Arabidopsis thaliana: one gene and its partner. The protein of the gene in region 2 purifies or fractionates together with the protein of the main gene of each other region. This does not show direct contact. Each region holds a gene or a part of one and is shown on either strand. Other genes may lie near its edges.

Evidence for each region. The genes of interacting proteins can lie anywhere in the genome.
Region 1: the proteins of AT5G25470 (region 2) and STRS2 fractionate together in Arabidopsis thaliana (co-fractionation; one large-scale study listed by BioGRID). This does not show direct contact.

Annotation. Positions count from the first base shown.
Region 1 is NC_003076.8:2,792,556-2,798,311, forward strand, and holds STRS2 (DEA(D/H)-box RNA helicase family protein), read left to right. Parts: upstream 1-1,832; 5' UTR 1,833-1,984; coding exon 1,985-2,226; intron 2,227-2,320; coding exon 2,321-2,427; intron 2,428-2,550; coding exon 2,551-2,606; intron 2,607-2,703; coding exon 2,704-2,928; intron 2,929-3,324; coding exon 3,325-3,531; intron 3,532-3,605; coding exon 3,606-3,692; intron 3,693-3,781; coding exon 3,782-3,877; intron 3,878-3,951; coding exon 3,952-4,167; intron 4,168-4,269; coding exon 4,270-4,452; intron 4,453-4,720; coding exon 4,721-4,993; 3' UTR 4,994-5,205; downstream 5,206-5,756. Other genes in the region: PDE340 (P-loop containing nucleoside triphosphate hydrolases superfamily protein), read left to right, coding at 1-151, 226-312, 401-496, 576-791, 876-1,058, 1,277-1,504.
Region 2 is NC_003076.8:8,865,149-8,869,628, forward strand, and holds AT5G25470 (AP2/B3-like transcriptional factor family protein), read right to left. Parts: upstream 2,577-4,480; 5' UTR 2,436-2,576; exon of another isoform or gene 2,202-2,435; intron 2,104-2,201; 5' UTR 2,087-2,103; coding exon 1,985-2,086; intron 1,665-1,984; coding exon 1,304-1,664; intron 1,192-1,303; coding exon 1,070-1,191; intron 964-1,069; coding exon 706-963; 3' UTR 503-705; downstream 1-502. Other genes in the region: DGR2 (transmembrane protein, putative (Protein of unknown function, DUF642)), read left to right, coding at 1-246; AT5G25475 (AP2/B3-like transcriptional factor family protein), read right to left, coding at 2,772-3,026, 3,119-3,243, 3,341-3,782, 3,882-3,932, 4,243-4,344.

The DNA.
Region 1 (5,756 bases), 6.1 Mb from region 2:
CGCAACAAGATTGATGGGTGTGAAAGTCCTTGTGCTTGACGAAGCTGATCATCTCTTGGACATGGGTTTCCGAAGGGACATTGAGAGGATAATTGCCGCTGTTCCTAAGCAGAGACAAACATTTTTATTTTCTGCCACCGTACCTGAAGAGGTTACTGTCACTTTCTAGTACAAAGGCTCTCATTTTTTGGGTTGGAATCTTGAACTGTGTTTTTTGGTGTCAAGGTCCGCCAAATATGCCATGTTGCTCTGAAACGGGATCATGAGTTCATCAATTGTGTCCAAGAGGGCTCTGGGGAGACACATCAAAAGGTAAAAGATTTCTCTTTAGCTTAATTTGAGTGAATGGCCTGCCATATGATTGGATGTTATCAGTTTCTTATGTTTGTTTTATCTCCAGGTCACACAAATGTACATGATTGCATCACTGGATAGACATTTTTCGCTTCTACATGTGCTTCTTAAAGAACACATCGCAGATAATGTGGACTATAAGGTAACATTATCTCTCTAGTGCCATTATGAATAACCAATGTCTGTATTTCTGAACTATCCCGATTTCGTTGCTGTTGTAGGTTATCATTTTCTGTACAACTGCTATGGTGACAAGATTGGTGGCTGATCTGCTTAGTCAGCTAAGCCTGAACGTCAGAGAGATCCATTCTAGAAAACCGCAGAGTTACAGAACCAGAGTTTCTGATGAGTTCCGCAAGTCCAAGGCTATTATCCTAGTCACATCTGATGTATCTGCTCGTGGTGTGGATTACCCTGATGTGTCATTGGTCGTACAGGTAACCATAGTTTTCTGACATGGAATTGTTCTGCGACTACAAATTTTATCTCTTTTGTTTAACTGAAGTTGTTTGCTTTTGCAGATGGGATTGCCATCAGACAGGGAGCAGTATATACATAGACTTGGCAGAACCGGGCGGAAAGGGAAGGAAGGGGAAGGAGTCTTATTGTTGGCACCATGGGAAGAGTACTTTATGTCATCTGTTAAAGACTTGCCCATCACCAAGTCTCCACTACCGCCAATAGACCCAGAGGCTGTGAAAAGGGTAAGCATTTTCATATAAGCGCACTCACATGAATTTGTGATTCTACTGAACTTGGCAAGCCTTTCTTAACTCATATTTGCTGGCAATCCAGAATGAGTAGGGAACTTGAAACTGAACCTGAATCTCATAACACAACTCTTTGAAGTTAAAAGCTATGATTTTTGAAGGGTGTGAGTATGAGTGAGTATTGCTGGGTATAATAAACTTGTTGAATTCAGGTGCAGAAAGGGCTGAGCCAAGTGGAAATGAAGAACAAGGAGGCGGCGTATCAGGCGTGGTTGGGTTACTACAAATCTCAGAAGATGATTGCAAGAGACACGACCAGACTGGTGGAGCTGGCCAATGAGTTTAGCCGCAGCATGGGACTTGACAGCCCACCAGCTATCCCCAAAAATGTTCTTGGCAAGATGGGTCTCAAAAACGTTCCTGGTCTTAGAACCAAGTAGATTTTCTTTTTTCCTAGTGATCTGCTTTGGTTTTAAAACTTTAATGTTTTGTAAGTGTAGACGTGTAGTCTCTTGTCATTCTTGCTACACTCTTAAGACTTCCTAACTAAAAAATCCTATAAAAGTTGCCTTCTTATAAAGGTCTTTTGTTTGTAATGGCTTGTTAACATGAGTATTTCGATTTTCACTAAAAAAACAAAAAAAGTATTAAGTTGGATTATACGTGTTTGAAGATTTAACAAAACTTTTTTCTGATATAAAACAACACGTTTCAAAGCAAAGGGAGCAACTACATGCCGTTTTGTATATTTGTTGACATTTTGGGCCACTCGCATCTGTACCCTTAAGCCCTAAATTGTGTTTCCTACAAAACCTTTTAAACCCTAAAATAACCGACGGCGGGAATTTGGTAGTTGCAGAGCCTTACAGTTAAAGGCATACGCTTCACCGTTCTCTTCCGTCTTTTCTCCACTCGTTGGCATGAATTCCGATGGACCCAAATCCGGTAAGAAGAGACGAGAGATTCGTGCTAAACTTGTGAAGAAGTTGACGAGTGACGAAGATGGCTCGGGAAAGCTAGTCAAGGACAACAATAAGAGTCTAAAGAGGGGAAGAGAAGGCAAATCTGATGTTGATGAGCCTCTTATTAAGAAACCAGCTTCTACTACGCCTCTAGTGACTCAAATTGCTAAAACTTCAGATTCTTATTTGTCAAAGACAAGGTACATTTTTTGCGTTTCTTTCGGAGATAGCTTCAGAGCTATTCTTAGTGGTGTTTGATTCAGATTTCTCTTTATGGTAAAATGGTTCTTACAGATTTGATCAGTTCCCACTGTCTCCCTTAACGTTAAAAGGAATTGAGGATGCTGGATTTAAGACAATGACTGTTGTTCAGGAGGCTACTCTTCCTCTCATTCTCCAAGGTGAACTTGCCTAAAAGGCAGAAACTTTTGCATCTTTCTTCATGATTCCTTATGTTTTGTCATGACTTAAACATTTTGAAGCTTGACTATTCCTCTATTAATTATTCTTCCTTGGTTTTCCAGGTAAAGATATCCTTGCGAAGGCCAAAACAGGCACTGGGAAAACAGTTGCATTTTTGGTGAGATACCCTTTTTGGGTTCATGTTGGTCATTTAGGATTACAATCAGTTTGATTAATTGGGGTTTGTTATTAATGTTGATGTTTCTTTTTCCAAGCTTCCATCAATTGAAGCTGTTATCAAAGCTCCTCCTGCAAGCCGTGATAATAGGCATCCCCCAATTATTGTGCTTGTGGTATGTCCTACTCGGGAACTTGCTTGTCAAGCTGCTGCAGAAGCAAACATCTTGCTCAAGTATCACCCATCTATTGGTGTTCAAGTTGTGATTGGAGGCACTAAGCTTCCTACGGAGCAAAGGCGCTTGCAAAAGAGTCCTTGCCAGGTAAATTTTCATTTGTATTAATATGTAAACTTATTTCTGAGCAAATCATGCATTTCCATTGAGCTGGACTTCTCAGATGAAACTTGTTATCTGACCAATAGAGTTGCATATATTTCTTTTCAAACTGAGTTGGTTATCCTTCGCTAGAACAATATGGACTCATGATTTGAATTTCTAAGAATATGAATTAAGATAGATTGTTTTTTAAAAAGAAATGGATTTCCCTGTCCAAGTTAGGATTGTTTTTCAGTCACAGGATATGTTCTTTGATCTAAGCCTCATTATGCATTTAGATTTTTTTGCATTATTTGTCTTCCCTGCAGTCAAAGTGGCTGCAGAGATGGTGATCTTTGTCTCTGTATATTTTTGAATAATAACATATTTTCACACTCTCAGATTCTCGTGGCTACACCCGGAAGGCTCAAAGACCATATCGACAACACTTCTGGATTTGCAACAAGGTTGATGGGTGTGAAAGTCCTTGTGCTTGATGAAGCTGATCATCTCTTGGACATGGGTTTCCGAAGGGAAATTGAGAGGATAATTGCTGCTGTTCCTAAGCAGAGACAAACATTTTTATTTTCCGCCACAGTATCTGATGAGGTAAGTGTCAGTTTCTTGCACAAAGGCTTTCACTTTTGGGTTGGAATCTTGAACTGTGTTTTTTTGCTATCAAGGTCCGCCAAATATGCCATGTTGCTCTGAAACGGGATCATGAATTCGTCAACTGTGTTCAAGAGGGTGCTGGGGAGACGCATCAAAAGGTAAAAGATTGCTTTTTAAGTTCATTTGAACCAATGGCCTGCCATATGATTGGATGCTAATGGTTTCTCATGTCTGTTTTATCTCCCAGGTTTCACAAATGTACATGATTGCATCATTAGATAGACATTTCTCGCTTCTATATGGTCTTCTGAAAAAACACATCACAGATAATGTGGGCTATAAGGTATATTGTTCCTCCAATGCCTTTGTTAATCACCACTGTAATTCTGGATTAACATGATCTCCTTGCTGTTGCAGGTTATTATTTTCTGTACAACTGCTATGGTTACAAGATTGGTGGCTGATCTGCTTGGTAAGCTAAGCCTTAACGTCAGAGAGATCCATTCTAGAAAACCGCAGAGTTACAGAACCAGAGTTTCTGATGAGTTCCGCAAGTCCAAGAGTATTATCCTTGTGACATCTGATGTATCTGCTCGTGGTGTTGATTACCCTGATGTGTCCTTAGTCGTACAGGTAAATCATGTAGTAGTTTTCAATCATGGAATTGAACAGTATCTACAAAGTTGATTGTTTTTTTTTACCGAAGTTGTTGTTGTGTGTATGTTGCTTTTGCAGATGGGATTGCCATCAGACAGGGAACAATATATACATAGACTTGGCAGAACTGGGCGGAAAGGTAAGGAAGGAGAAGGTGTACTATTGTTGGCACCGTGGGAAGAGTACTTTCTATCTTCTGTTAAGGACTTGCCCATCACAAAGTCTTCTTTACCGCCAATAGACCATGAGGCTGTGAAAAAGGTAAGATTTTTCAAATACTACTACTGTAAACTTAGCCTGAATTTGTGACTCTATTGAACTTAGCAAGCCTTTCGTAAATTCTATTCGCTAGCAAGTAGCAAACCAGAACAACCAGAATGTTATATAAACTGTATTGGAATATGTATGCAAAGGAATAAGATTTTCACATCTCACGAAACTAACCTCTTTTACGTTAGAAGCCAAATTTTTCTTAAGAGTATGTAACTCGAGTGAGCATTGATGGGTGTTGAAAACATGTTAAAATCAGGTGCAGAAAGGGCTTATCCAAGTGGAAATGACGAACAAGGAGGCGGCATATCAGGCATGGTTGGGTTACTACAAATCGCAGAAGAAGATTGCTAGAGACACGACCAGACTGGTGGAGTTAGCTAATGAGTTTAGCCGCAGTATGGGACTTAGCATCCCTCCGGCTATCCCTGTAAATATTCTTGGCAAGATGGGTCTCAAAAACGTTCCTGGTATTAGAGTCGCTCCAGGTTTTGACAAGAAACCTGCAAAGAGAAATTATCGTTCCCGCTAGATTTTCTCTTTCTTTGCCTAATGGTATTGTTTGTGTTGAACTTTATTGCTTTTTTGAAGTTTGGCATTTTGGTAAAAGTTACCTTCTTAAGAATTTCATTTGGTAATTTACTAATTTGTCAAGATCCGGTTTGTTTCGGAGCCCAAAAATCCGAAAATAAAAAATTCAGAAAAAATAGAAATTTCTTTGGTTAACTGATCGGTTCATCTCTTCCAAAAAATTATCTAATCGGTTCATCTTACCGAACCGAATTTGTTACCCAAAAAGAAAGAGTTCCGATTGGCTTTTTGGCTGAAAACTAAACCTGACTTGTAGTCCTTGGTTTGCTTCTGAATCATAGCTAGGCTGTTCAACATTGTAAATTCTGTCTTACAGCCCACAGGTGTGGGTGTAATTACCTGGATTTGAAAATGAGAACTGACTTTCTTCTCCGAGTAGTTGTATACTGTATAGATTCAAATGTCGAACTACCAAATTCATGTTTTGATTTTTTTAAAACAAAAAACAAGGGTACAACGATGGTCCTAAATGTTTATTTTGGAGCTAAAACAAAGATGACATGCCATCAAATTTATCAAACCGCACTGAAAACAAAAATAAGTCAAAAGGTTTTAGCCTAATTAATCTAAGTCTTCTGTAACAAAGCTTAGAAATATAGCCACCAACCAAAATCAGACATAGATGCAAATCTGCAATGAAACATTTTAGGAATAGTAATAAAACTTCTAATTTCCCCGGAAAAAATAAAAAATAAATGGTACCT
Region 2 (4,480 bases):
GCCAACAATGCTTGCAAAGGATCAATGGTGGTTGAGGCTTTTGCAGGAAAAGATACACTTAAGGTCCCTTACGAGTCGAAAGGCACAGGAGGGTTTAAACGAGCTTCTATTCGATTTGTGGCGGTTTCGACCCGATCAAGAATTATGTTCTACAGCACTTTCTATGCCATGAGGAGCGATGATTTCTCGTCATTGTGTGGGCCTGTGATCGATGATGTCAAGCTTATAAGCGTTCGTAAACCATAGATGAATCACCAATCCTATTACAAGAAAATGCATCGTGTGGTCTTCTTTTATTTTCCTTAAACTGTCTTTGGTGTGTGTTGGATTTTATTGAAACGAGAAGGTGAAAAAAACAGAGTTTTATTTACGAGAGTTAGGGTTTTATATAGGCAGATGGGCCTTTGCTTATATTGTATTTTCTTGTATGAGAAGGCAAAAGAAACGTTGCCTATATCTTATGTATCTAGGCCTTTTAATTTTTATGGAAGAGTTACAAAACTTACAATAAAGTTGTATGCATATTTTACTTCTCACGAGCATATAAGACTGAATCACAATCGAGCATTTCCAATGAAGTAACAGAAGCATAAGAAATTTAGCATTTAAGTTTTGTTAAAGCAACATAAGGGTCACATATAAACATTACAATAGTAAGTTTGGTAAACACGAATGTTAAAGAAAAGAGACTAGAGAGGACTCATCTCATGTTTTATTGATGAAGTGCACTCTAACAGCAGTAACCAGTTCTCCAGAGCGTTCAAGTTCACAAACCATAGAGTCTCCGGTTTTCAGATTGTACTTTCGACATAGGTCCACCCAGCCATTGAAACAAGGGGCACTGCCACCGCCATAGATCTTAGTGGAGCCATTTATTTTATCTCCGGGAAGAAGGTAATGCATGGGGGACAAATGGGGACCAAACTTCAAGCCATACTTCTTAATCACTGTTTTGGGCACATACTAGTTGCACATTGTACATGAGAAATAGAGAGAAAGATAAGTCTTAGATTTAGAGGCAACAAACGTAAACTAGAATCAAAACTGATGAAAACACTGCTCTTATTACCAAAACGTCATTCCCTTTTGTCAGCGTTTTCACAAAGTAAGGGTTTTTGGGGTTTAGAAGGTACAGCTCAGGGTTTTTGATATCAGCACAACCATGTGTCTCTCGCCAATTGTCTGAAAATTCTGCCAAAACAGAAACAAAAAGAAGCAAACTTTGGCATTGAGAGAAAAGAAAAGAGTAGTATTGAGTATGAAGAGCATCAAAACGATTCTTTCATTCTGAATATAGCCATACCAGAAGCAGAAGCAGAGGCAGAGGCAGTGGTTGTCTCCTTGTGAGAATTTTTTGGTGTAGTAGGATGAAATGGTTCAGTTTCAGGTTCAACTTCAGGAGGTGCATCGATGATCTCGTTCCCATCATTCTTAAAGATTTGCACTTCAAGAAACATCTTGTCATCGTGTCTGAAGAACACGTTATCATTTGGGCCTAAATGGTTGTCATCCACAAACTCATCCCAATCTTCTTCTATCATAAACAGATCTTTTTCTTCTCGCTCCAGCCAGAGTTGCCAAGAATTGCCCCAACGAACACTGAACACAACTCTGTGCTCAAAAGCCCCGGGCGTGCTTTTCACAAACTCTTCCGGAAAACTCCTCTTCATAAAGACAGAAATCATAACAGTTGACAACAACAAACGATACTGACATTAGAAGAAGGAAACATGAGACTAAAAGCTAAAATACAATCAGCAGAACACGAGCTTGTCAAGCAGAACAAGAAGCAGGAATCATTGTGCCATTAAAATCTCCTCAAATGTTTCTTGAAAGATCAAAAGCTTTTTCGAACAAGAACAACAAACGAACAATAGATCTTTAGAGCAAACAAAGAAGTTCAATGGAAATAACAGTGAGTACAAAATCAAAGGAGCTACATTTTCGAAAGATTAGAAAAGAAGAGAGACTAATTTTGTTTTACCATGGATTTAGATTTCCAGTTTTGTCCTGGAGACAGAGACTTCCAAAAGCAAGGCTTGCTCACATTTCCTTGTATCTTATCAGTAGCATTCCTAGGCAACATCTTGTTCTCTTCAAAAGCTGGATGGATTCGGCAAAATTAGGGTTCATAAACAAAGACGAAGATGACTTGCATGTAATGAAATCAGTGAAACAGTAAAACTGGATAAAAATTAAACCTTTAATGCGTTATCTCGCTTTTCTTACTTTCAGTAGCTAAACCCGAAAGTGTTACAAAGCAGAGAACACGAAAATGGTGACTAATGAGAGACACAGAGAAAAACGAAGAAAGAAGCAAAATTTGTACGGTCAAAGGGGAAAAAAACTTAGGTCAGAAGTCAGAACAAAGTAAATGCGTAAAAGGCAAGTAATTGCGTCAAAAGTAACGTCGCCGGAGCATGAAATTCACGCACCGTCGCAGTCGAAGAAGCTTCCTCTCGCTGCTGTGTCTGCTCTTCTCAGCCCTTGTTCTCCAAATCGAATCTCTCTGCTTTCAGAAAGAGAGGAGACTCAACAGTCAACAGCACTGTGACAAGTGTCAAATGTGTACTGTGTATGGAAATAATAAAATGGTCAAACAATATTATTGGGCCGGATATGGCCCATATTAGAAACTGGCCCATCATACTCTAGAATCGATTCGATTGCAAGTGAATTGACAAGTTTGTTAAACTAACACATAATTGACACATTTAGCATTGTTACAGAAAGTTGTAAATAACATATTGTTGTTACTAGAGAGGATTGGTCTAGTCTTTCTTGACGAAATGCACTCTTACAGCGGTAACCACACCACCGGAGCGTTCAAGTTCACAAACCACGGAGTCTCCGATATTCAGATTGTGCCTCCGACATAGAACCGACCAGCCACTGAAACAAGGTTTCCCGTTATAGATTCTATTCTCGCCTTCCTCTTTTTTCTCCCCGGGAAGAAGATAGGTAATGGTGGACTTAACGGGACCAAACTTCAAGCGATAGCTCTGAACCACCGGTCGGCTCACATACTTGCACATACAGCAGGAAACAAAGACAAGCTTTAGCTTTCTAGGCCACAAATGGAATAAAAAGCTGACAATGTAAACACTTGTATTATTACCAGAACGTCGTTCCTTTTTGTCACCGCTTGCACAAAGTAAGGGTTTTCAGGATTCAAGAGGTATCGCTCAGGGTTTTTGACATCACTAGAACGTTGTTTTCCTCGGCCATTTGTCCCTCCATTTGCTGAGAATTCCACCAAAACAGAATCCAATCAAACATTGGCATAGAGAACAAATGATAGTTTGGAGTTTGATGATTCTATCGATCTGAATAGCCTTACCAGAGCAGCCAGAGCCAGAGGCAAAGGAAGAGGCAGGGGTTGTCTCCTTGTGAGGTTTCTTGGGCGTAGGATGAAATGGTTCAGTTTCGGGTTCAACTCCAAGAGGTACATCAATGATCTCAACCCCATTATTCTTAAAGATTTGCACTTCAAGATTCATCGTCTCATCGTGTTTGATGAACAGATTATCATTTGGACCTAAATGATTGTCGTCTACAAACTCATTCCAATCTTCTTCTATCATAAACAGCTCGTTCTTCTCTCGCTCCAGCCAGAGTTGCCAGGAGTTTTCCCAACGAACACTAAACACCACTCTGTGCTCAAAAGCACCACGCGTTCTTCTCACAAAGTCTTCCGGAATTATCCTCTTAATAAACCCAGAAATCAACAAAACAATACTTACATTCAAAAGAGGAAACATGAGACTAAAAGTTATAACTTTCTACAGAAAAAACACAAGCAGCAAAAACACGAGCTTAAAAGATTGGATTGTAGGTCAAGAAATGCAGAGAAAAGGACTAGAACCAACACTAGCATAAACATGAGCTAAGGGCAAACGAAACCTGCGACGTAAAAGTACCCATAACGGTAGCTAAAACAGGTCAATAAGTAACAAAATGAAGACCAAGCAGCAAGAAGCAGAGGAGGCATTGTGCCATTAGAATGTCTCCAAAGTTTCTTAAAAGAAGAAAAGATCTGAACTTTTTCAAACAACAACAAACGGGTAGTTCTGTAATAACTTGTCTATAAAAGGGCTAAACTAAACATGAAAGGATTATCACATCTTACTGTTCTAGCAACAACATCCAAAGCTATAAACTTGTAACAAAGCAAATTCAATAGAAAGAGTCTAAGAACAGTGAGTAAATATCAAAGGAGGAGTGAGTCATAATTGAAGTTACCATGGATTTAGATTTCCAAGTTTGTCCTGGAGAGAGAGACTTCCAGAAGCAAGGCTTGCTCACATTTGCTTGGATCTTCTCAATAGCATTCTTAGGCAACATTTTTCTTTTCAAAGCTGGATCAGTTCTGCAAAATTAGGGTTTGTATGATGACCTACTTGCATTTGTTCATAAAATTAGAGCCAAAAAATTGGAAAAGTAAAAAAAGAACAAACACTTTGTACGTACAAGGAGGAAC